Solanum lycopersicum: one gene and its partners. The main gene of each other region encodes a partner of the protein of the gene in region 2 in a complex. Links are inferred from orthologs where the notes say so. Each region holds a gene or a part of one and is shown on either strand. Other genes may lie near its edges. The genes, in order: transcription initiation factor TFIID subunit 5, transcription initiation factor TFIID subunit 7, transcription initiation factor TFIID subunit 1, transcription initiation factor TFIID subunit 11, transcription initiation factor TFIID subunit 15b, transcription initiation factor TFIID subunit 15 and transcription initiation factor TFIID subunit 10.

The links.
Region 1: transcription initiation factor TFIID subunit 7 (region 2) and transcription initiation factor TFIID subunit 5 share a complex: the UniProt entries of both Arabidopsis thaliana proteins name them as parts of the TFIID complex. The link is inferred for Solanum lycopersicum from reciprocal best matches to the Arabidopsis thaliana genes TAF7 and TAF5.
Region 3: transcription initiation factor TFIID subunit 7 (region 2) and transcription initiation factor TFIID subunit 1 share a complex: the UniProt entries of both Arabidopsis thaliana proteins name them as parts of the TFIID complex. The link is inferred for Solanum lycopersicum from reciprocal best matches to the Arabidopsis thaliana genes TAF7 and HAF01.
Region 4: transcription initiation factor TFIID subunit 7 (region 2) and transcription initiation factor TFIID subunit 11 share a complex: the UniProt entries of both Arabidopsis thaliana proteins name them as parts of the TFIID complex. The link is inferred for Solanum lycopersicum from reciprocal best matches to the Arabidopsis thaliana genes TAF7 and TAF11.
Region 5: transcription initiation factor TFIID subunit 7 (region 2) and transcription initiation factor TFIID subunit 15b share a complex: the UniProt entries of both Arabidopsis thaliana proteins name them as parts of the TFIID complex. The link is inferred for Solanum lycopersicum from reciprocal best matches to the Arabidopsis thaliana genes TAF7 and TAF15b.
Region 6: transcription initiation factor TFIID subunit 7 (region 2) and transcription initiation factor TFIID subunit 15 share a complex: the UniProt entries of both Arabidopsis thaliana proteins name them as parts of the TFIID complex. The link is inferred for Solanum lycopersicum from reciprocal best matches to the Arabidopsis thaliana genes TAF7 and TAF15.
Region 7: transcription initiation factor TFIID subunit 7 (region 2) and transcription initiation factor TFIID subunit 10 share a complex: the UniProt entries of both Arabidopsis thaliana proteins name them as parts of the TFIID complex. The link is inferred for Solanum lycopersicum from reciprocal best matches to the Arabidopsis thaliana genes TAF7 and TAFII15.

The regions. Positions count from the first base shown.
Region 1 is NC_090805.1:43,588,075-43,591,335, forward strand, and holds part of transcription initiation factor TFIID subunit 5, read left to right. Parts: coding exon 1-67; intron 68-204; coding exon 205-244; intron 245-2,987; coding exon 2,988-3,152; intron 3,153-3,261. UniProt on the Arabidopsis thaliana protein: TAFs are components of the transcription factor IID (TFIID) complex that is essential for mediating regulation of RNA polymerase transcription.
Region 2 is NC_090803.1:63,319,516-63,323,470, reverse strand, and holds the start of transcription initiation factor TFIID subunit 7, read right to left. Parts: upstream 2,801-3,955; 5' UTR 2,663-2,800; exon of another isoform or gene 2,399-2,662; intron 2,318-2,398; 5' UTR 2,316-2,317; coding exon 2,207-2,315; intron 1-2,206. UniProt on the Arabidopsis thaliana protein: TAFs are components of the transcription factor IID (TFIID) complex that is essential for mediating regulation of RNA polymerase transcription.
Region 3 is NC_090806.1:3,258,954-3,262,453, forward strand, and holds part of transcription initiation factor TFIID subunit 1, read left to right. Parts: intron 1-959; coding exon 960-1,296; intron 1,297-2,409; coding exon 2,410-2,619; intron 2,620-2,770; coding exon 2,771-2,863; intron 2,864-3,500. UniProt on the Arabidopsis thaliana protein: TAFs are components of the transcription factor IID (TFIID) complex that is essential for mediating regulation of RNA polymerase transcription. Core scaffold of the TFIID complex.
Region 4 is NC_090804.1:5,061,233-5,065,388, forward strand, and holds the start of transcription initiation factor TFIID subunit 11, read right to left. Parts: upstream 2,801-4,156; 5' UTR 2,593-2,800; intron 1,332-2,592; 5' UTR 1,324-1,331; coding exon 1,007-1,323; intron 1-1,006. UniProt on the Arabidopsis thaliana protein: TAFs are components of the transcription factor IID (TFIID) complex that is essential for mediating regulation of RNA polymerase transcription.
Region 5 is NC_090805.1:50,539,679-50,541,783, reverse strand, and holds the end of transcription initiation factor TFIID subunit 15b, read right to left. Parts: intron 1,055-2,105; coding exon 934-1,054; 3' UTR 501-933; downstream 1-500. UniProt on the Arabidopsis thaliana protein: TAFs are components of the transcription factor IID (TFIID) complex that is essential for mediating regulation of RNA polymerase transcription.
Region 6 is NC_090810.1:45,838,641-45,842,812, forward strand, and holds the start of transcription initiation factor TFIID subunit 15, read left to right. Parts: upstream 1-1,372; 5' UTR 1,373-1,526; intron 1,527-3,748; 5' UTR 3,749-3,797; coding exon 3,798-3,917; exon of another isoform or gene 3,918-3,933; intron 3,934-4,058; coding exon 4,059-4,172. UniProt on the Arabidopsis thaliana protein: TAFs are components of the transcription factor IID (TFIID) complex that is essential for mediating regulation of RNA polymerase transcription.
Region 7 is NC_090811.1:67,585,591-67,589,874, reverse strand, and holds the start of transcription initiation factor TFIID subunit 10, read left to right. Parts: upstream 1-1,484; 5' UTR 1,485-1,856; coding exon 1,857-1,955; intron 1,956-2,034; coding exon 2,035-2,099; intron 2,100-3,214; coding exon 3,215-3,277; intron 3,278-4,284. Other genes in the region: protein GLUTAMINE DUMPER 2, read left to right, coding at 6-464. UniProt on the Arabidopsis thaliana protein: TAFs are components of the transcription factor IID (TFIID) complex that is essential for mediating regulation of RNA polymerase transcription.

The DNA of each region.
Region 1 (3,261 bases), on a different chromosome or scaffold from region 2:
AAACTGTGCATCAATATCACATGATGGATCACTAGTGGCTGGTGGATTCTCAGATTCATCTGTGAAGGTGCTTGTAGCTTCTGAATGACGTTGAAATTATGTTGTCACAAATTACAGTATCTGTTGATCCTTGATCATCTTCTTATCTTTTTTTTGGAACTGGTAACTTTGATCATCTTCTAATCTAAGTCCCCCATTTTACAGGTCTGGGACATGGCAAAGCTTGGGGAACAAACTGGTCCATGTAAGTCCAATATGATGGTCCTCAGCTCCTTTTCAATGTATTGTTATTTCATGTTTCAAGATGTTTTAGTGAATAGAGGTTGAAAAGGTCCCTTTTAATACTACTCCTAGTCACAGTATATCTCGCCAGGACAGCAAGAAAGATTTATTCTTTGCTGCTTTAATTTATTTGATAAGTAGATAAATTTTATTTCACTAAGAAACTGCACTAGGGTTGTGAAGTTTGTTACATCAGAAATTTGCTTAGCAGAAACATGATTAGTTATGAAGGTTTCTCGACTGAACATATAAATGCAGCTTTACATTTCTGATGGAAGTATTTCTTGAACTCCTTGCATTTTTCAATTAGGTAAATAATTTTAATCGAAAAGTCTCCTGTATACAATGCAGTACACAAAAAATAACTATATCAGAATATGATTCTAACAAACAATATCCTATTGTTTTTTTTTTGGAGAAAGTATCAGAATATGATTCTAACAAACAATATCCTACTGTTTTTTGTTTTTTTTGAGAAAGTAACATTTGTATTAAAGAAACTTGGTAAAAAGGTTGTGCTGGTAACCATGTGCAGCTTCCAAAAGTATTGGGAATCCTTTTACTTCTCACTAGGGATCTATCATGTCATATTGGATTCTACATCATTTACATAATCTCTTTGCACCAAAAACATAAACAACACAAAACAATTCATCTCTATCATTTGAATGAGGCTATTGCTGCCTTCAAAACATCTAGGGTTCCTTTCCTTCAAAGCTGTCAACCAAATGCTGGAGTGAGATCTCCCTGATTGTGCCAACATCTCAGTAAATCAGCTGTAGTTCTTGGCACTGTCCATCCGAGTCCAACTATGCTTGGGAAGAGTTGCTACAATTGAGCAGTTACACCAAGATGTAAGAACAGGTGTCTGTTAGACTCTTTAAGTCTGCACAGTATTACTAACATCTGGTGCTCAACTGGAATCCTCTCTTCTTTAAATTTATCGAGTTAGACTGGCCTATAAGAACTTCACTAATGCACCAAAAAGAATCAAGGGATTGAAAAGCTATTCCTTGAGTCTACATACTCGTTTTCTATCTCTTAAAAAGTCTTGAACCACTCCTATAATGTTGAAGTGATCAATAATTGAGAATTTTGTCACATGTCTTGTTATGACGCTCATCATGTATGCTAGTGGTTTAGATACTCCTAAGGAAAAGGCAAACATTTTGAATCCAAATGTTAACATGAGGTTTTTTTTTGAGGATAGTAACACTAATCTAAATATTCACAGCTAGACTACATCCAAAATATGTAGTCCCCTTCAAAAGGTATTGCAGTCTAGTAATATTGCCGTCTATCACCTATATTTCTTACAAATAATCCAAGACATCCCAGATATCTTGCGCTTGGACTAAAAAGTTCTCTTTTCACCAAAAATAAAATAAAGCTAGAGAATTCATCTTGAAGCTCTGAAGTCCATTCTGCTTGTCTTCAAAGCACCTCTGGTTAGAGTTTTCTCAAAAGGCCTGCATATCCACTATGGTTCAGGGCCGATCATAATCCCTATGATGTGATAATTCCGTTGAATAAGGTGGAATGTAAGTAAAAGAAATTCATTTATAAATACCAATTAAGTGCCAAACAATGCGTAGATGTCCATGTTACTTGGAAAAGTTTCCATATGATGCTATATTTCATGTTCTTTATTCATTCTTTGTTATTTCGTATTAATTATTTACTTCTTATTACAGCCTTTTATATAGTTGAGCTTGTGCTAAGTTGTTTATTCTTTTGCACCATCAGTAATATTCTGAATGTTGCATGTGATGTATCAGGTTGAGGGTAGTTTTGCTATAAAAATTGATTCCACCTTTATCTTGTCCTAAATTCTAAGTTGGATTTTCTTTTCTGATACTCTCACTACAATCCCTCAGGAAAATCTAGTTATATTGTAAAACTGGCATATTTGCCTTGAGCTGTCATATTCTAACTTGCAGAAAGGAAATAAGACAAATAGCTCATAGTTCCTTACAAATGCACGCCTTTGGAGCCAGCTGTTATGTTATTCTCTAAGGCATATCAGCAGTCAAGATTGATTCTTAAACTGATTTTTCAGCTCCATGAATTTGGTCTATTGGTAAGAGCACATCATGTAATGTTTGAGTTAGAGGCATGTCACGAGTTTGAACCCAACCACTTCAAAAAACATAGTTTTTAAGTATAGAATGTGAGAGGGGCGACTCCAATATCCACCGAGTTTTGGACTGCGTCGGCTAGCCCTCGGGGATTTCTGGGTTATCAATTTTCTTAAAAAAGCTGCTATCTCCATACTAATTGCTTATTGAGGGTTATCAATTTTCTTATAAAAGCTGCTATCTCCATACAAATTGCTTATTGAGGATGAATTTGAGCAGTTACTGAAGCAACTAATTTTGAATAATTTGTCCTTCAAAAATAAAACCCACATATCAAGAACTAAATGAAAGGTTATTGCTTCAGGGGTGTAGTTGTTCTTTAATATCTATAAAAGTATGTGAAAGCAATTTAACCAAGGATTAGTTTGTTTGACTCGCTGAAGCAAAAGAAGGCTACTACTTTGGGGCCAGGGTAGCCATAGATAGTCTGACGTCTTAGAGTATTGCTGTAAACAATCAACATCTTGCAAAACATGTCATTGTTAATGTGTGCCCCCCTGTCTCTCATACACACAAAAAATTGCCGAAACAGAAAAAAGAATGGTTGATGAACAGTGCTAGAACCAGCTTTTTTGCAGGGGGAGACTGATTCACCTTCAAGTGAGCATGTGCTTGGCGCAAATGGTGGAAGAAGATGTTATACATTACTTCAGGGCCATTCAGGGCCTGTTTATTCTGCATCATTCAGTCCGCACGGGGATTTTCTTCTTTCTTCATCATCAGATTCAACTGGTATGATATCATATGACTTTGATTGCTATTAGCTCTACAATAGTTCTTATTCATATGGATTATGATAGTTACTGAAGTTCTATATGCTTACTCTATAACCATGTGACCT
Region 2 (3,955 bases):
TGTGGGATAGTTTGAGGGACTGGTCTGCTAACATCTCATCTCCTTGGTGTGTTACAGGAGACTTTAATTGCATCGTTGGTCCAGAAGAAAAAAAGGGGGGCAACTCCCACAGGATGGCCAAAAGATTACCTTTCTTAGACTGCCTAATGGACTGTAATTTGCTTGACTTGGGCTTTATTGGCTCCAAATACACGTGGTGTAATGGCAGATTCCCTGAAGACAGGATTTGGAAACGGCTAGACAGAGTCGTGGCTAATGACGAGTGGATTAAGACTTTTCCTGATTCTAGCATATCTCATCTCATAAGAACAGGATCAGATCAGTCACCTGTTTTCTTTTCTTTCTCTACAGGTACTCCTCAGAGAATTAAGTACTTCAAGTTTCTTGATTTTTGGACAGAGCAACCTGACTACTTGGGAGTTATTCAAAATGCGTGGAACATTGAGGTCCATGGCAACCCAATGTGGAAAATGCATTTGAAACTTAAAAATGTGCGCAAACATCTTTCTTGGTGGTCAAAAAACAGCATTGGTGACATTTTTTAAAACACCAAGAAGCTTGAAAAAAAGGTAAAAGATCCTGAAACCATAATGGAAACCAACCATTCTAGCACCATCAGACAAGAATACAATAAGGCAAATGCTGAATTCATTAAGCATTTGAAAACTGAAGACTTACTTTAGACAAAAAGCTACACTTAAATGGCTTAAGGAAGGAGACAACAACACCAAGTTCTTCCATCAGTTATCAATAGTAAAAGGAGGAGACTTATGCTCAAGACTATAAAGAATGAGTTTGGGAATTGGATAGAAGGGGAAGATGGCAGAGCTTTTGAAGCAGTCAATTTTTTCCAAAAACAATTCACTCAAAAGGAACAAGTGGACTGGAACATATTAAGCTGCATCCCTAAGAAAGTTACCTATGAAGACAATGACTACTTAACCTCTCTTCCCACTTTAGAAGAAATTAAACAAGGATGAAGTTTTCATCCTCATTGGATCTCAGGGAGGTCTGGACAAAAATCCAAAACTCAGACCACAATGTTTTCACTTATTAGCATATGAAAGAAAAGACCTAGGTATGGCGGGCCACAATGGGGGGAAAATCCTGCCTTAGAAATCAGATGAGGCCATATAACTTGTGGACACCAAAGACTATTAATTTACAAATTCAATCAAAACGACAGTAGAATAAACTATGCTCTATTGACAACTTCACACCCCCAATATTTTGGAACTTCTTATGGGTATTCCAGATAACCTCAGAGAATAAAAATTGTTTGGAAAACCATTCAGTCTATAGTTAATCATTCACATCTCAATCCCAAATCAGTTAGATTTGGATGAATCTTCTATGTATTTTCCCCTCTATTCAAGTAAATTTCATTCCAGTACTAAATACTTAACATTTTTAAGACGAATCACAGATTCTCTAAATCCCAAAGGTTCTCTGAATCAGAAGCAGTATACGGAATTGGAAGATATAGGGGGGAGTAAAAAGGTTCAGCTCTCACGGAGGTGGCCTAGTGAATAGTGATCGATGAAGTGGGTTGAGAACCGTGAGGTCCTAGGTTCAACAGGCAAAAACACTAATGATTTCTTCCCATCTGTCCAAATTTTGGTGAAAAGAGTTACCTAATACTTGCACGGTCGGAGGTAGCAAGTACTTTGTGGAATTAGCTGAAGTGTACACAGGTTGGCTCGGACACCCTGGCTATCATAAAAATAATAATCAAAGGTTTAAGGAATGACAATACGAACACATGGGAAGCGAAAGATGGAAGGACTATGGTTTCCTGTTTTGATAGGTGATGCGAGAGTATTAACGATGTGAAACAACATAAAAGGAATGTTGGTGTGAAGTAGGACTAGTTTAAATCTAAAGAGTAAATGCCAACATGTCAAATAATTGTGTCAAAAATTATAAAGATAATGGCAAAAATCACACTTGAAATATCACATTTTTGCGAGTTTTCAACCTAAACTGTCCGGTATTTACTTTTCCTACCTAAACCATCACCAACTAGTTACCAAAAGACACCTCAACTATTAGTTGTTTCCTTTTCCTACCTTAATAATTGCCACATTTCAAGTAATAAAAGGGAACAATGAACACCTGATAGTTCAGTGTATTCTTGACCATCAACTTAAAACTATAAGCTCCTGCACAACAATATTTAGAACTCCAAAAGAAAAAAAGAAGTTACCAGAAAAAGACAAGTCCAGTTTGTCTTCTGAAGAAGGATTTTCACTTAAAAGACGGTCAATTCGCTCAGCAACAGAAGGTGGAACCCTCAGAATAAATTGCTCATCCATGGCTGCACAAATTTAGAAGAAAAATTGAATCTTTTGACCAAACAAAAATAACTTCAGAAACACCCTTAAACTTGATTTTCTACTTTCAATCAAAGAACCCTTTTGACATCACTATCTTCTCCACCCTTTTGACATCACTATCTTCTCCACCCTTTTGACATCACTATCTTCTCCATAAGTATCAGTCAAGAATCATACAATTTTCAAACGAGTAATTTGTACTCTACTTTGAATAAAGAATCAAAATTTATAGAAATAGATCAAACAAATTCCTTCGAAAAAAAACTTTAATAAGTAGGAATTTCGATTCTTCTCTCTTTAACATAGTAAATTGATAGAATTCTCACCACAAAATAGTGCCAATTGTTGAAGCAGAGATGATGAAGAAAAAAAAAAAAAAAAAAGAAGCTGGGTTTCGAGAAAAGTGAGAGAATGAAAAATGATTTTAATGGAAGTGTGTCGAATTTATGCAAATTGAGACACTAATTAATAGCAATTAGAATGATTTTGGTGGTAATGTGAAAAATATTTTAAAAAATAATATTATAATTAAAATAATGATAATAACGTCAGCAAATCTGATTTAAATAATAATATTAATCGAAATGTATAAATTGTGTTTCTATTTGTATAAAGCGAGAGAAAATTTATAAATATTTTCGTCTTATACACTTATAATTAAACAATAAAAATGCTCTCCTACCCAGTTTCTTTTGTCTTTCTCTCTTTTTCGTTTTATACAAATTTAAATTGTATATAATTTCTCTCTTTCTCGTTTTATACAATTCGATTCAATTGTATATTCCCTGTCCAAGTCTCTTTTGCCTTTCTCACTTTTACATTTTATACAATTCGTTTTATACACTTTGTTTTATACAATTCTCTGTTCAAGTCTCTTTCTCTTTCTAGTTTTACACACTTAATTTTATATAATTCGCTTCAATTGTATATGTATAGCGAATTATACATTTATGTGTTTGCTATGGAGTGCAATTATGCAAACTTTATTATAACATACAAATATGCATTTTATGTTTGCTATATATGAAAGTTGTCCAAACTTATATCTAGGTTCAAATTTAAAAAGAAAAAAGTTAAAAATAAAGAAGTATTTATTATTTTAAGTCGAGGGTATGAATTGTTCGAATTCAATATGAAAATTTTAAAGTTTTTAAATTGAAAAAAACTACAATTAAAATAAAATAATGATGAATTGGGTAAAATTCAATTTTGGATTAATTGGTGTAGCCACTGTGGTAAATTATGATTCTTGAGCCTTTAAGATCAATCATAAAAATTAACGATCTCAGTTAATCTAATAATTCTTCTATTCCATATTAACACTTTTTGTTTGGATAGCACTGTATTGTATAGTGAGGCAATGCACATTGTTAAAGAAAAATGTTTGAGGACATAATTGAAATTATATTTTTTAATATTATCTTTTTTTGAATCATAAATATAACTTTGTAAATGGTGTAAGTTATCCTGTAGAAAATATAAAACTCAATTAAAAGAAAGGACAAAATAGAAAATAATCCAAACATATGTCTTGAACTTTAAACAATTCAATTATTTTAAACAATAAAAAAATCTCAAAAAATCACTTAGTATGAAATAAAAAAAATAGCTTTTTTTAT
Region 3 (3,500 bases), on a different chromosome or scaffold from region 2:
GGCGCATGTCACTAAGTTCGAACCCTGTCGTAGAAAAGGTTTGTTATTTAAGTTAAGTGTGGAGGGACTGACCCATCATCTGCCAAGTTTAAAATTGTGCACTACCTGGTCCGTGGGGATTTCTCATTTATTAAATAGAAGTAACTGGTTGTCTGATTATCATCACTATCTAACTGTAGGAATTTTAATTTTTACCATGATAAGGATGATCTGATGAGACGCTAATTTTTGTCCTGATATACATCCAGCACTCTCTAGGTGCTGTGATAGATGAATAATATGCCTTTCTTTATAATAAGAAAGGTGATCTATGTCAAAGTTGACTAGTCTGTTGCATTGGTTAAGTGGAGATTTGTTTCGCACATAAGTAGTTTATTGGTATGAATTTTTGGAAGTACTTTTTCTTGTTTCTTGTTGTAATGGAAATTCAAAATATCCAAGTAGGATGCTGAAGAATTTTACTTTCTGAGATGTAACTGAAGCCAATTGTTTTCCCTGTGAATTGTGCAAATAACATCTTAAATGCTATCTGTCTAGAGGTGGATATATGAAGCATTAAAAGATCCTTTTTCTTTCATCTATATTTTTGGTGCAATGTGTACGGCCCCCTTTTGTATAGCAGCTGGATGTATTTGACAGAGGACTACTCTATAAAAATATCTATACATATTTTGTGACCACCTTTGTGTTATTGATGAATAAAGATTTTTTTGTTTCAATCTAAATTTTAGGTGTGAGGAATAGACCCCTTTTTGTATAACAATTGGATAGATTTTAAAACGTAGCACTATATTCAATCACATGGTACATATTTTCATCACCACCTTGTTGTGTTTCTGGTGAAACCTTTTGATTTAAAATATTGAAAGAGAATTTTATCACTTCTTTTCATGTATATAAAACTTTAAGATGTTTTTCCTTAGTCTGCTCAACATTTTTGTCTGCTCTTCTACTTGCAGATACTGTGAGGAGAGACCTTTGCTCCTTGGAAATGTTGGAATGGGTGCAAGATTGTGTACTTACTACCAAAAATTATCTCCAAATGATCAGCAAGGCACCTTGTTGCGCAATGGAAATACTGGATTGGGGAGTGTACTCACACTTGATCCTTCTGATAAATCCCCCTTCCTTGGGGATATAAAACCTGGTTGCAGCCAGTCATCTCTTGAAACAAATATGTATAGGGCACCGATTTTTCAGCAGAAGGTCTCATCAACTGATTATTTGTTGGTTCGCTCAACAAAGGGTAAGCTGTCCATAAGGCGGATAGACAGGATTGATGTTGTAGGGCAACAGGTTGTCTACTATCCTTAACTTGTCTCATTGGAGTAATTTCTTGATCACGCTATGCAAATTTTATGTTATCATTTTCTGATGAACTTTTTGCTAAAATATTGATTGTTTTAGTAGAATTTATCGAACCACGGCATCAAGAAAATTTCTGGGTTCATGTTATTATGCTTTTGCCAGTAATGAACCTAAAGCAATGAGCTGTTGCATAATAAGGTTGAATTTTGAAATTCAGAAGGCATATGAATTGGTCCTCCTGTGATGGGGTTGCCTTTGATTTTCTCATATTTTTGCATTGTCCACATGCATTCTTCTTGAAGCATTCAACTTGTTTTGCTAGATCTGGTTAGAACTTCTCTTGATGTTACATTGCCTTGCCTGATCTGTTCATTTGTGCGATGGAAAACTACCTTTGATGACCAGTTGCATATTCAAAATACACACCTTTACTATATCTTTTGATGATGATGTGAGGTGCGGGGCCTGAGTGTCAGGTCATGCCAATGAGTTGATACTATTCCAGGCCCTGGATGGTGGAGTATCTGATTGTAGTTTGACAGATCTGAAATAAATAATCTAAAATTGGATGATCCGGAATTCGTGAAGGAAATGGATTCGAAGCTACATAATTTATTCAATTCATATGCTTTTTTTTCATTTTTTATTCCTGGAGGAAGTAGAGTTTGCTTTGCATTAGTTGTGGTTAACTACATTATCTTTGGATTTTTCTACTTATTGGTCATGGAGGTATATTGGTGTGCATTCTCGCTATAAACCCAATTAACTTTCAACTATTGTTGCAAAATTTGCAATAGTGGACAATTCACTTTGTCCTCTAGATTTTGCTATCCTATTAAATATTGGATTTTTCTTTGTGCAGTATGCTAACACATGCTTCTGTAATGTGCAACATGCTATAGCTATGTCGATGCTTATACCTGAAGAGGATAACCAAGTTTCTTTAATGTGCAAGCATGCTATAGCTATTAGCATCTTATGCTTGAAGAGGATGATCTATCATGAATAATTTATGACTAATATCTGTTTGTTGTTGCTTCTGTATGAATATGTGATGGATCTATTTCCTTGTTTAATCTGCCTTTCCCTGTATTCTTGAAGGAGCCTCACATGGAGGTAATCTCTCCTGGATCAAAAGGTGTTCAGACCTACATAATGAACAGACTATTGGTGTATATGTATCGTGAATTTCGTGCTATTGAAAAGCGCGGTTCCCGTCCTTCCATCCGTGCGGATGAGCTGTCTGCACAGTTCCCTAGCTTGTCAGAGGCCTTTCTTAGGAAAAGACTCAAACATTGTGCTGATTTGCAGGTACTTTTGTGAACATCATTCAATTCCTGGGTAAATTCTTAGTACAGGCATTAGAGGGAAATAATTTATTCGAACTCGTCTTTGTCGCATTCTGTGTGCTCCTTCCCCTTATGTGTCTGTCGTAAGTTACTTGGGTGCTGACATGATGCAGAGAAGATCAAATGGACAGTTCCAATGGGTTATGAGGTTCAATTTTCGGATACCATCCGAGGAGGAATTGAGGAGACTAGTTTCGCCGGAAAGTGTGAGTTCTTTCAAAAGATCCTTGTTTTAAATTTCTCTTTCATCTCCTCCATCCCCCTGAAAAGATCTCCCTCCCTCCAATTTAAAAATATTCTTTAATTGATGAATTAAGAGATATTATGCGCTTGTCAAAATAACTTGGGATACAAATAACACTTTCTTAAAGCTTCATCTTTCGATTATGATGGAGTTTTCCACTTTAGCACATTTGGTATTGGGAGGAGGCTTAATCTTCAGATGTGCATTCAAATTTAGACGTCTTCATCTATAATATATAGTATATCTTTTGATGAAGTAATGTTTCAAAGGATGCAAAGTCACTGGAGGCTAGTTACCAAAGAATAAAAGAGTAGGAGAACACTGTTTGCCCCATATACAATGTCTCAATAAAGAACTAAAGTGCTAATAAAATCCAAAAGCTATGCTGAATTAGTTACTGGGAACAACGTTGTCCAACAAAAGAGATCTAAACATTTAGCTGAAGAGAATGGCTTGGAGTTGAGATGCCATCAAAAAATTTTCTGTTATTCTCTGTCCAAAGGCTCCAAAAATTAGCAGCAGACATCATCAACCAGGTCTTCTTGATGGTCTTATCAATTTTCCGAGGACTCCAACTCACATATGCCTCTCTCGGATTC
Region 4 (4,156 bases), on a different chromosome or scaffold from region 2:
AGGATAGAAAAATATTCTAAACTGAGCTCACGTAAAAACGAGGTGCAGACCCTAGATAGGAAGGCCTGGAGGTCGAGCATTAGAGTAGAAATTTAGTAGGTAGCCGCGTGTGGTCGCCCGTTTGGTGGGAGAGGCAATGCCATATCCTCTTCTCCTTATTAGTAGTAGTATTTAGTAACTCGCATAGTTTCTTATTTTTCTATGTGTTTCTACTATTTGTTGCTTCATTTTGCTATGTGTCCTGATATTTTGTTTTCATGTTTTCTTATTGCAACCCTTCAATGAATAGCTTCCCTTTTAAGCCAGGGATGTATCCAAACAACCTCTCTATCCCACAAAGGTAGGGGTAGGGTCTCCGTGCATCTTACCCTCCCAGAACCCACTTATGGGATTATACTAGGTATATTGTTGTTTAACAAGGAGGTGCAGAAGAAAAACTTTAGCATAACAAGTATATATATAACTGCAATGTACAATTCCCATTTTATTGGCCTTGACCACAATATGGTTTCTTCCATACTAAATTAGTTATTCTCCATATTGCCCTTACTTAACAATGCTGATACAAAATGTCAATTTATTATTTAACAGCTACTATATTTCCTACTGGTGTTTATCTGCAGTAAATCAAGCATATCAAGCTAGATGAGATCTGTTCACAGATCTCAATAGAAGCATTGACCTGCTGGTTATATATACATACTTTTTGTTAAAAAAAAAATGATACAGCAGATATACTGAGGGAATACAGCATACAAAAGAGAGTTAAATTAATAGTCTGAGTAACAAATCAACAAGGAAAGAAAGGAAGGTGAGAGGAAGGGATAGAAATCATCAGAAAAGGAGTTATTCTTTTATGCAAATTGATCAGTAGGCAGGTCCAACCACCCACATAAGCTATCACAGAACAGGATAATAGCATACAATCTTGACAATCTTCTGTGAATGGAATCCTTGTAAACAGAAAGAGTTCGAGATATTTGAAAACATAAACTGACAAACTTACTGCATCTTCGCCAGTTTGTCAGGATCACTACTTGATGAGAGTTTTCCTAACTGCACATCCATGCTTTCTTCCTCTTCCTCCTCATCTTCCTCTTTGGGTTTGCTAATTGGACCAGCAGTACTAACAGAGACTGATGTAGCTTTAGATGTTGAAGGTTTTTCACGAGAATCGGTATTAACATCGTCACCTTCATTCATATTAACACCAACTGCACCTTGATCTTGGCCTTCATTCTCATCGGTTCCAGCAGGGGATTCAGGGGGTGAGTCATCCTGCTCCTCAAAAGTAGCCTCAAAAGGATCCTTAGATCGCTTCATAGAATTCGCTGCACCAGAATGTTTAGATTCAAGTAAATTATTCACCATGCTAATCATTCATCCATTTTGATTGAGATATACCAACTTCCAACACAATAATGTGATATGTTCAAGACAATTTTTTAGGGAGGCATGGTAAATTATAACTAGATTGATTTGGACCTCACAAAATGGCCACACTCTCCAACCAGGTCGATTGATAAATTAATGGAGTTGAACTGATGCAGCTCAGATATTCTCAAATCAAATGATCATTGCAAGGATGAAAAAGATTAAAGCATTCGGAAGGAAGGAAAGTAAAGATAAGGATGAAGCAACAATGTCAAAGAAACATTGTTGAAGTTTGAACTAGAAGCTACACCATCCTTCAATATGTCTAGATTAAGATAAAAATGAAATATAGAAGACAAATACTGTACTATTTCATGTTATCAGTTTCAACAAAAAAACAATGTACTATTTCAAGTGAGACCAAAAGGTTAAGTAGTTGTCTACTTGCGCTGGTACATTTTTTGTTATATAACTGCAGTTATTGCCCTGTTAAATTTTCATCAACGAAGCAATGATAAGATATCCTCTCTTCTTTTTCATAACCGATAGGATCCTGCAGTCTGTTGTGGTGTATAATGGGCTCATTCCTTTACCCTTCCCACTTAAATACCAGGCTTTTCCAACAAAAGGGTTTGAACACGTAACTTACGCCTAACCACCACATCACTCAATAACCAAAGCCCTGGTGGGTATACAAAGACATCCTCCCGGTACATCCTAAGTCACAAAACTAAGACTATAAGGAGTCGTTTGGTATGATGGATAAGGAATAACAATTCCGAGACAAAATGCAGGACTATTTTATCCTGCATCTGGTTAGGGAAATTAGTTAGTCCCGAGATTGTTTATCCCATCATATATATGGTAGGATAACTTTGTCTATCCCATTCCCTGTACCAAACAACCCTTAAAGATTCAAGCTTTGCATGTGATTTAACCTAAAAACATTTCCAAAACTAAAGTGTGAACAGCTATAGCATGAAACAGGCCTCCCCTAATGGAATGGATCGGTTCTGCCAACGAAATAAACACGGAACAAATCTAAGGTATGTGAACAGCTGTAGCATGAAATAGGTCATAAACGGAAAGATTTCCAGCTGATTTCAAACAATTGAACTGCACGAAAGCTAGCCCGGACACCACGATTATCCAAAAAAATTGTTCATTGCAATATTAGGCAAAATCATAATTGATCAATCCAAATAGAAAGAAAAATACCTGGCGAGCCAAATTCTGTGATACTGATCTCTCACCAAAGATAATTCCGGCGAGCGTGCCGGCGGCCGGTCTGAAGAAATTTGACGGGTCGATTTCGCTGATGTGGTTGTGGGTTTAAATTGGATTAGCTCATGGGTCGGGTCGGGTCGGATTTGATTGGATTCATGAATTAGGGCAGTTCAAGCGGACGGAAACAGATAATCCCAATAAAAAAAGGTTATTGCCTCTGATAATAAATTATTGATTTAGCGGTTTTAATAACGATTTTGATTTTTTTTAATTAGTGAGATATTAGTTTTAATGATTTGAAATTATTTTTTTTAATGGATTAACTAATAACTTGATTGTAAATTAAAGAATTATATTTATACAATTTAGTAGATAATGTCCTTGATTTACTATATAAATTTATCTTTTTTATTTTTGAGTGTCTCAAATTCTCGATTATTCAACAGTGATGTGATATGTGAACTTACATGTCCACTCATTTTGTTCGTCACAGTATTTTTAAGTGATTATTTTAAATCAAATCTTAACGGTTAAACAAATTACCAAATCAATAACAGTTGATAATTAATAAATCGATAACTGATAAGTTAATATTTTAATAGTTCTAAAATAATTTAGCACATCTCTAAATCAATAACCAATAAACCTCAAATCAAACGAAATCGATACGCAACCCTTCATTTACCTTCTTGCAATTGTGGCCAAACAAATCACAGATGGTTTTTTAGTAATGGGCCTAGGATTTTAACCAAATTATTTTCATTTTGGCCCATATACAAGGGAGAGCAAATTAAATGAATATCACATACTTTAAAAACATTTTTAGTTTTGTTCTTTTATGGTTAGTAATTAGAATTTTAATATTTCTTTGACTAAGTACAAAGAATTTTGTTGACCAATTAATCAAATCAAGAAATTTATAAAAGAAAATCACTAAAAGTCTAAAACAAGACTATTGTAATAAATTTTTTTCTTTTGAAAGTTTTCAATGCTAAATGCTATATAAGGTTGTGTACGATAAAAACTAAGAAACACTCTAAAATTCTTAAAGGTTTTATTATTTTACAAAAAGATGGACAAAACTTCGATTATGGCACTTTTTGTTGTTGCTTTCTTGATTGCTTCTTGTGGTTAGTCTATTTTGTTTTCCTCTTATCATTTTTCCTTCAGATCAGTTGATTTTGTAGTTCTTTACTTTGTCAATACGTATTATAAAATGTTAACAATTGTTTTATAACTTTTTAGATGTGGCGACAGGCATGAGAAAATGTAGCACAACAGATGATTGTAACAATCATGAAAATATGTTTCCAAAATGTATTTGTGTTGATGGAACATGTGTATGCAGCTCACTCAACGCACATTCTATTGATCATGAAGATAGTGGTTCAAGTGGCAAGTATTAACCTTGAAAAAATTATATTAAAAATGTCTCATTTGATATTGCTTACATGATGAAACATTTGCAATAAAATATTTAGTTGGTTGCATCATGATATGAATTTTTTTTTGTTTCTTTTACTATTTTAGATCTTGAGTTATTTTCTCCGTTTAA
Region 5 (2,105 bases), on a different chromosome or scaffold from region 2:
CTACTACCCACTAAAAAGTACTCATTTGTTGTACCAAATTTGAAAATGATAAAAACAGACACATGGCTAAAAATGGGGTACAAAAAACCTGCAGAAGTACCAAAATGAAAATTCAAGCTACTTCCAATGTATGCTCCACACAAAGAAAAACTATTGCCACTCGGAATTTTATTTAGAACGACAAAAAAATTGGACACTGGTCCTATTTCCTGTGAATAGATTGAGAACCAACATGCAAGCACTCAGACCAAACAATCAATTTACAGTCTTGTTTTCTCAAATTGTAACTAACACATCATCATTATTTGTATAGCTGTGTGGTCGGATGTCTTTTTTCTGATCCAAACATTAATCCCTACAATTAAATTACCAAGTACTTCACCATTGTACTCCGCCATTCATGCTGAAAAATGTGTTTAGTACAAGAGACTTGTCCTCCATATTCTTCCATGGAAGAGAAACTGAACTAGCAGATACACAATAAAAGAAAACAGTACAAGTAATTAACAGCAACATCATATAGGAAACAAATTCATTATACAAGGGGTCTAGTGCAGAGATGCTAGCATTTCCAAAATGCAAGCAAAATCACTTAAAGAGACCAAACATCATTCAGCTTAAATTACCAGAGTAATCGGTTTTCCACAGTAGTAACACTCACCTGAATATTTCACCTACCTTAGCAGCAATTTGCAGAATATCCAATCGCCTCTATCAAAACATTCAACATATCAAAAAAGGTTCTGAACTAGAAAACCCCACCCCTTACGCAACCCCAAGTAGCAGAAAGAAAGAAGAGAAGGTGGATATTGCTCAAATGGAAGTGAGTTAACAGCCTACCTCTTTTAAGTCACAGAGAGTATATCTTGAAATGGAACTAACTAAAAAACCCTCCCACCACAAATTTTAGTACATAAAATGCTCGACTGGAACTCAATAAGGACGTGAACGATTTCCACCATGAAACTGTCTATCTGGGCCGGAACCTCCACCGTCTCTGTAGTTATCCCTGCGCCCGCCACCACCACCACCATAACCTCCGCGACCGCCACGGCTGTCAAAGTATAGACAGACATGAGCATAAGAGATATATTTACTATACAGGTTAGCACAGGGAGTCGTAAGTTCAGCATACACAAAAGGTCCCCCATCCCATTTATAAATTTAACCCAACAAATAACAACATAACCAGTGCAATCCCACAAGAGGGTCTAGGAGGGTAGTAGACTACGCAGACCTTACCCTATCTCGTAGAAATAGAGGGGTGGTTTCCGATATACCCTCAGCTTAAATAAAGCCAGCCAAATATATCATTAACCCGATGGAACTATATAATATAAAAGAAACAACATATTCTTCATTCAATCCAATAGATTAAACATTTTCTAAACCTTGAGCCAATAAAATATATAAACAGTTCTAAATGGCAATAGAAAGAACATAGGGCAGGAAGAATGCATAGGGTGTCAATCAGCAAGTGGATTTTCAAGTAGCAAAAATGGACATCGATTAAAAACACAATTACAACATACAACATGCAAAAAAAATTACAAAAACACTAATTCTTGAAAGCACTATTGAAATATGTAACTTTACAGTTTTACATTGAAATATACATAGATGATGCTGATGAATATATTTTTGCAGGATAAAGAAAAAATGTTTACTAATGAAGCCACACAATTATGATTAACCGGGTTCCCATGCACCTCATAAAGGACAAATGTAGTACCAAGTTATAGAGATGAAATTTGATTGCTTAATTCGCTTTTCTCTGGGAACAAATCAATGTATCAATGATGTTAACAATTTACTGAAAATAATTATTGAAATTAAACTTCAATACAGACACCCTATGCGATCAAGTATGAATTTTAGGCATGCAACTTTAGTATGAAATTTGGCACAGCAATTAGAGTCAACATCAGATGCAAGAACAACTCTGATCATCTACTTGATAAACAACCAAAACTCTGGAGAATTCATAAAAATAACCATACATCCACTATCTAGTTAAACACACTTGCTAACTCTGCATACATTCCACAGCATAACCACTAAGACATGTTGTGAGTTGACATAAACTGTGAATTGTAGCACAACTG
Region 6 (4,172 bases), on a different chromosome or scaffold from region 2:
AATTATTATTTATTATGTATAGTTATTATTATATATTGTTATTATTATTATTATAGTTAATATTATAATTAATATTTTATTTTTATCTTTTATTATTATAATTATCATTAGTATTATTTATTATTATTATTATTATATATTATCATTATTATTATTATTATACTTATAATAATAATGATAGTAATAATAATAATAATAATAATATAATTACAATAATAATAACATTATATTATTATTATTATTATATATTATTATCATTATAATATTATTATTATTATTTTATTATTATTATTATTATTATTATTATTTGTTATTATTATTATTTATTATTATAATATATTATTATTATAATAATAATAATTATTATTATTACAATAATTATAATAATAATAATAATAATAATAATAGTTGTTATTATTATATTATTATTATTATTTTCATATTAAATCATTATTATTATTATTTATTATTATTATTATAATTATTATTATTGTTATTTATACACAATTTATGATAATAAGGAAATATGTGAATGATAGCAAAATATAATTACTGATGGATGTAAAATATAAATTAATTTTGTTTCAGTTTTTGAAGTATAAAAATCGTAAATTAATCAACTTTTATCATGTTCACAACATTTATGGTATTTTAGACATTTTGATTAAAAAAGTGTTTACCAGCACTTATTTGTCAAACACATCAACAACCTTTTTTTAATTTCAGCACTTTTAGCCAAACACATAACTGCGTATTTTAAAAATAAGTTCCAACATTTTCAAAAGTACTTTTTAAAAGCTACTTTTAAGTCTATCCAAATGGGCTTTGAATCTTCACTATATAAATATAAATATAAAAACAAAAATTTTCTCTTTTCTCTTTAGTTTATACAATTTCTTCTACACTGTATAAATATACTAATTATACTATTCACCAAACAACGATAAATCCATAGTTTGCTAACATATGTTTTCTCTTTTCTCTTTACTTTATACAATTTCTTCTATACTGTATAAATATACTAATTATACAATTCACCAAACAGTAATTCTTCTGAGTTTACAAACATAAGCTTTTTCTTTTCTCTTTTCTCTTTACTTTATACAATTTCTTCTGCACTGTATAATATACTAATTATACAATTCACCAAACAGCTATTCATCCGTAGCAAACTACAATTTTGTTACGAAATGTAATTTTGAAAAGTTTGTCATTGCATAAAATTAAGAATTTTATATTTGTTATATGTGAAAGTTGTCCAAGAAATATTGTGTAGTTGTTTAATTTTTTTTTTCAAAAAAATAATTGTTTGTGCACTAGGCTCAAATGGATTTTGAACTCTTAGGCCCAAATTCGTGCAATGGATAAAAATGGACCCAACCCAAACACAATACATATTGTTTATTGGTTTCTGCCCCAATTTCAAAGGCACTCTTATTATACGGCGAAGTTGGCGCCGGCGAAATTGCTCTCTCTCCGTTGTTCTCCGGTGGATCTCTTCAGTACAGCCCCGGCGTAATCGAGTTGTAAGTCCCTCTCTAGATTCTTATTGTCAAAATTAAAACCCTAATTCCATTTTCACTCATGACTTGCATTGCTTCGCTTGTAATCTCACTGTATAACAAACCCTAGAATCCAACTTGTATAGTTCGTCGTGGATTGTACTCGAATTTACATACTACTTTCTTATTAATGGCTCCTAAATTCTATGTATTGCCAATCTGCCTGCCTTCACACACTGAAAAAGATTCAAGACTTATAAATATATTTTTTTTCCATGTGTTGTGGGTTTCATCTCCTTTTCGATAGGGTAAGATGAAAGTCATTAAAAATATACGTGCTGTCCTTATTGTATCAACCTATCGGAACATGATAGGCTATGGTAAAATTCATCAACTTTAAATCAACTCTTGTTCGGGTCCAAATAGTTTAGAAAATGCATGAAGGAGCAATCTTTCGAACTTTGTTGAATTTTTTGATATCTCTGTCCTTGCCACTATACATCTCCTGGCATATCCCAACAGACAGCAAACAAATTGAGAAATGACTGAACTAGCAAGGCTTGACTACAATAGAGAAATAGGTTTCTGCTGCTTTCCTGGTAACATTCACAGAAGAAACATCTACTGCACAAGGACACACCTTCTCTTTCAAGATTGTCCTGAATACAGGCATTCCTGGTTGCTTTTGGTTCCAACTCTACCAATACAAGTTACCTTGGAGGTACCTTTGATTTCCAAATAATTTTCAAAGGCTAATCCATATCTCAATCATGGGATTGCTTTTGTAGATCATAGCAACTCTTTACAGTAAAGTCTACTCTTTCTAGCCAGCCACTTCAATGAATTAATATTAATATCTTTTGCAGATACAGGTTGCAGAACCTCTTTAGAAGACCAAACTCATAACTCTCTAGTCTTTCCCAATCTTTGAGGTTTCTTCTAACTTCTAAGTTGTAGATGTTATCTAGTATTAGAGAAACAAACAGCCATCAGTTTATCATGCACTTCCTATTTAATGAAGTAGGGACCTCATTTTTTAGTATCACAATATCTAACTAGTGATCCAGTCAGAATCTGATGCATTTGCCGATTCCCACAACTCTGCTAGTAAAAGAGTTGAACTACCTTTAATAAGGATAAATATGCTTCCAAATAGTAGTTTCTATTAGTTATTAGTGATTTTAGGAGTCCACTGGTCCTCCTTGCCACATATGGTATTGATACTTTAGTTTTCATCTTTGAGTCTCCAAAGCCATTTGATTAGTAAGCTTTTGTTTTGAAGCCTGTTGTTCTGGTTATGGTGCATGTTTTTGTCAATGTTTAGCATGTCTTGCACTGTATTGTTCTCCATTTTTGAGCTATTGCAATGCTGGAACAAAGAGAGCAGGCTGTGCAAGAAATCCCCAAATACTTGGAATAGCATTCCTTGAGCCATTTGGTGGACTATATGGCTTGAAAGAAATAGCAGATTTTTTCTTAGGCAACTGAAGAATCAGACATACCCTTAAACAAAACTGTATACTTTTTTCGATCTTTTTAGTGCAAACTGGTTATTGAACATGATGAAGATGCTAGCCTAGATGCAATAGTGGATATGCTCAATGCCTCAAATCTCAATCTTTAGTTACATTTTGTGGCACTGACTTAGTGCAAGTACTTATAACATCATTGATAAGGAAAAAAATAGTGCGGGAGAGATATGAAGGATCATATAGCCAATACTAATTAGTTTGGGATGAAGACGTAGTTGATTGATTGATAAATCAGAGTTCCTGATAATTTTCTCAACTTGTTGCAAAAATTAACAGGCATCGACATGTGAAGGTCCCTAGTAGTGTTCTCAAATTGGGTATACTCGAAAGTATTGTATTCTACACGTGCTTTTAGCCCATTGACCTGAAATTCTATACTCATAAAGGACAATAACTACTTAGCTCTTTCCTTAATGTATTACAAGATTGCAGTAAGAAAACATTAACCAATTTCCAGCTGTTTTGGAAAATTTACTGCCAAGTGGCATTTGTCTCTAATCCCACCACTTAAAAGTTGGCTTCGTCCCAACTTCCTCCCTACACCCTATCTTATATAAAAAAAATTTCTTTAGTTATCTCTTCATTTCTTCTGGTTTGGTCCTTTGACTTGCACATACTCTGGTGCTTTTCTCAGTTTAATATGATTTGCCTGTAGTTACTTTTAAGGACAGGGGAACTGTGGCAGGACTAATACTAGGTTGTTGCTTTATGCAGTTCTTGGGGTTTTTATTGTGTCATTGGATTTGATGAAATTGGAGCATAAATGGCAAGCTATTCAGGGAAAGGATCTACATTAAATGGTTCTGTGTATGTCTGTAACTTGCCCCTTGGTACAGATGAAGATATGCTAGCTGAATATTTTGGCACAATAGGGGTGCTAAAGGTATGGTTGTGAACAGGTACTTCTAATTATGTTCGAGAATGTTTGTTATATGCTCTCTCCCACTTCCCCCTACTCTGCTTTGAACAGATCACTTTGATTTTTTTATTCTTTTCTAAGGATTTGTTTTGCTTCATGTTGTAGAAAGACAAACGAAGCGGTAGGCCCAAGATATGGTTATACCGTGATAAAGTTACTAATGAGCCCAAAGGCGATGCCACAGTCACATATGAAGACCCTCATGCTGCATTAGCTGCT
Region 7 (4,284 bases), on a different chromosome or scaffold from region 2:
TAAAAATGCGAACAGTAAGTACCTTTACTACTGCTTCTCCATCAGTCTCTCCATCGGCGATTGTTCAAAAATCGCCATGGCATTCGCCGGCGCCGTATCTATTCGCCGGCGTAGCGTCCATGCTAGTGTTAATAACTTTTGCTTTAGTAATCCTAGCTTGTTCTTACTGGAGACGATCCGGCTATCCGAGAGAAAACGGCGATGTAGAATCCGGCGACGGCGAGAAATCGACCGGTGATGTTTTCAAGGCGTCGCCGGTTTTTGAGGAGAAAATAGTTGTGATAATGGCTGGAGATTTGAATCCAACTTTTTTGGCTACGCCTATTTCGAGTAGAGGTAATTCGTTTGGTGCTGGTGATAAAATTGAGAAGAAATTGGAAAAGGAAACTGAAGAATTTGATGATGAGAAGGCGAAAGATGAAGCTATGGATCAAGCTCATGAAGAATCTCAAATCGGCCATTGATGAAGCTACTGAGCTTTGAAAAAAAAAAAACAGAGCAATTTTCTCTATTTTTTTTTTTGAGTTCTTCCATTTTTGGTTTAATTTTTCAATTTTGAGATTCGGGAAATTGTACTCAATTTTGGTTGAGATAACAAAGAGTTAGAAAAAATTTTCGTTTTCGAGTAATATGTTTTCACGGAAATTGTTACTTCGATTTGATACGTGTTTTATTAGCTAACGATAATCATAAGAGTCATTTTGCTAAAAAATAAATAGATCGTTTTTAAATTTTTCAATGAAAAAAGTAAAATTGATGATATATTTTTAATATAATGAATGAAAAGAGTAGAATCAATTATATATCGATTTAGAAAATGAATTATTTGAAGAATCTCGAATGTATGTGCATATGTGACGTTTGCGATTTTATATCTATTGTGATTTACTAATTATATTTGATAATTTATAGTAATTAAATATGATTTAAAAATCATGCTTATTCATGCAATTTATAGGTCGTATCTATCGAATATGATATATAGTTAATCTATAAATTGAGTTACTATTAATATGTAATTTATAAATTATATTTATCTAATATAACTTTCAAATGATGCAAATCAAATGTGATATTAGTCATATTTGTGAAACATGATTTATAATCGTGCTTACCAAATCATTCAAGTACCAATTAAGTTACTCAATTGTATTGTAATTAAATTAGTTATCAAATAATATCCAAATTGTTTACTCAATAATAATATAATTCATTTTAATCTTCTATGATAGAGAAGAATAAAATGGCTAACATAAGTGATTATGAGTGTGTGTATATATATATATATATATACTTCAATGTAAATTTTAATTGCGTTTGGTTTGATAGAGAATAAAATAATTTAATTATATTTTTATTTTATAATTTTTTTAAATGTTATGAACTATCAAATTTAAAAAATAAAATAAAATATAATTTTTTTTTTTACGAAATATTATCGTTAGCTAGGTAAATATATATGCCCCTCTTCGCGAACGAATTTCACATAACAAAAATACAATTCTCCTCTATCTTAGGCCTTTTCTCATTTTTTTTCTTTTTTGCACAATTGTGGAGAAACAATTTTGAATTTTAAAAAATAATCAAAATTATAATATTTCTATATCCTAGAAGGAAAATAATATTACTTTTTCAATATGTGAGTTTAAAAATAATTTTTATATATATTTTTAAATATTTTAAATTATCGTAACCATAGTAATTTTACTTACCTATTACTAGAATATTTTTCTTCAGTTTCTTCTTCCGATTTTTTTCTCAAAGTAAAAAGGCACAAATCTTCCCCAATTTTCCTCCGGCGAAATTGAAACTCCGACCACCGCCGATCCTCCGTTGACTCTGTTTCGACGGTGAAGATGAACCAAAGTCAAGGTCAACAAACAAGTGAAGGAAGACACGAGGATGATGCTGTTCTAGCCGATTTCCTTGCTTCCTTGATGGACTATACTCCCACTGTGAGCTACTTTTTGCCCTTTTTCTTACTGAAGAGATCAATTTTATGTTTTATTTATGTAGGTTAACGCTTTTGATCAGATTCCTGATGAATTGGTGGAGCATTACTTGGGTAAAAGTGGATTTCAATGTCCTGATGTTCGATTGTATGTATTTTCTTCCCATTCTTATGTTGATGTTTCTGCAATTTAGCCTGCTTAGATTAGTTATAGAAAAATTGTTTGGATTGCTCATAAGGAAGATATGATTTTCGTGTGTTTATCTAGAACTATTTTCACTAGGTTTATCCTCTGTCTTGAGCTAACCGTAGTCTTTAAACTCGAATACGATGAACGCGCTCCTCAACCTACGTTTATTTTGCTTGGCGTAGCGAAAGCTCTACACTTTTGCCAAGTGAGCTAAGCCCTGGGGGTTCAAAGGGAGATATTATGTTACTGCAGCAAACAAATAAATTGGGCAAAGGTGCCCATATAATGATGTAAAATCCAGCTTGGGAGGATGTCCTCCCAAGATATTTCCTTCAACGAAGTAATAGAAAACTTAGCTGAATTATGTGCTAGTTTTGTTTAGACTTCTCGGAATATGAACAAAGTCTACATGATCAAGCAAGCTCTTAGCTTCCAAATGTCTTCACAAGTCACCTCTATCTCCCATGAGGTAGTTAACTTTTTCCTGAATCATAATCAATAACACTCTTTGCTTCCAATAGGATTCTCACATCCTTCCAATTGTTCCTGATTGTACGTTCAAGAGCCACTCTTAAAGCAAGTGCTTCAACAGTCATAGCTTTTCCCGCAAACTGGATTGGGGAAACATGGGCATGAATCAGTTTTCCAAGGCTTTCCAGAGCTGCAACACCAATATTTGCCAGTCCAGTATCCACCTGTAAACCTGCATCAGTAAACAATAATATAACATCTTGGTGGGTTGTTGGTGGAGCCGCAAGGCAATACCCATTTTTATGAAAATTAGATGAGCAATTAGCTGAATATCTTTATACTCGTAGCAATCAAACAGTGACTAAGCGGCAGTATTCTCTAGTTCCGTTTTTGTTTTGATCGTTTTCTATTTATCTGGTTTAGCAGTAAATTCAAGTAAAATTTATATATCTGTGAATTGGATTGGTATTTACCTTTTTACAAGTTGTAAATTTTAATATTGTAGCATTTGATGTTTTGTTTGACAGTGATGGCTGGTTTATCTTATGTTATCAGTTTTTAATACTGTGTTGTTGTATTGAGTTTTTCCTTTGGATATGCAGAATAAGGTTGGTGGCAGTTGCTACTCAGAAGTTTATTGCAGATGTGGCTACTGATGCTCTCCAGTATGTTTCTTAATTATTTTATTTTTCTTGAATTCTGTTTCCTCCTCCATCTTATGTTAAGTATGCTGCTAATTCTTCGGCATATTGCTCATCGATTGTCCCCTACTCTTGAGGCTTCAATGCAATTGTTGCCTGTCTAGGTGTTTGTCATTGTATGATCCTTCCAACTTTTAAGTGTTCAAGTTGTTCTCCTCCCCCAAACCTTAAAAAAACTCTTTTTGGTTCGTCTCTAATGAATTAGAAACATTAAGTTGGTAATTTTAGAATCCAAGCCTGTTATATTTTTAAAGACTGCCGACCCTAACTTGACTACACTACCAAAAATACAACACCTGAAATTCTCTATTGTTAGCGCAATAATACTACTACCTCAGGAGATTATTGTGTCTGTGACACTCCAAAACCTTAGAAAAGAGACAAAGAAACAGAAAAATACAATATAAAGAAACTAAGATATGACTTGAGTAGACATGTAGAAAGACCTTGTTTCAGAATATATGATTACAAATAACAAAGCATCCAACTTTCTCTGAACTTCCTTTCTTAATGTTTCCAATGGATTGTTATTTTCCTAATGCTTCTACTGGATTGTGGTAGATCTTCTCAACTGTGACAAATCAGTTGTGTTTTGTTTCGTTATCGACTCAAGATTTTGTGAATGCCTCACTTTACTCACTATTTTGCCTTCACTAGTCGTAATGAAAGTAAAACTCATGAAATGCTGTGAGTCTTTTGAGGATAGATTATGGCTTTATCATCGGAAGAAAGAATAAGAGTTTATGAATGGTCTCTTATGTATCCTTCATGTTTAGAAAGAAATGGATATTTATGAAACGGGCCATTCCAATAGAGAAACAACATAATGCCAGTGGTTGAAAGCAGGCAGGTCGATGAAAGTTAGGATATATCAGGAGCAAGGGGTATCTCCATTGGTATTCTGTGTAGAGACTAGAAATATGGTTGAGACAACAAGATGGCAGTGGTTGAAGGAAGGAAAGTTGATGACT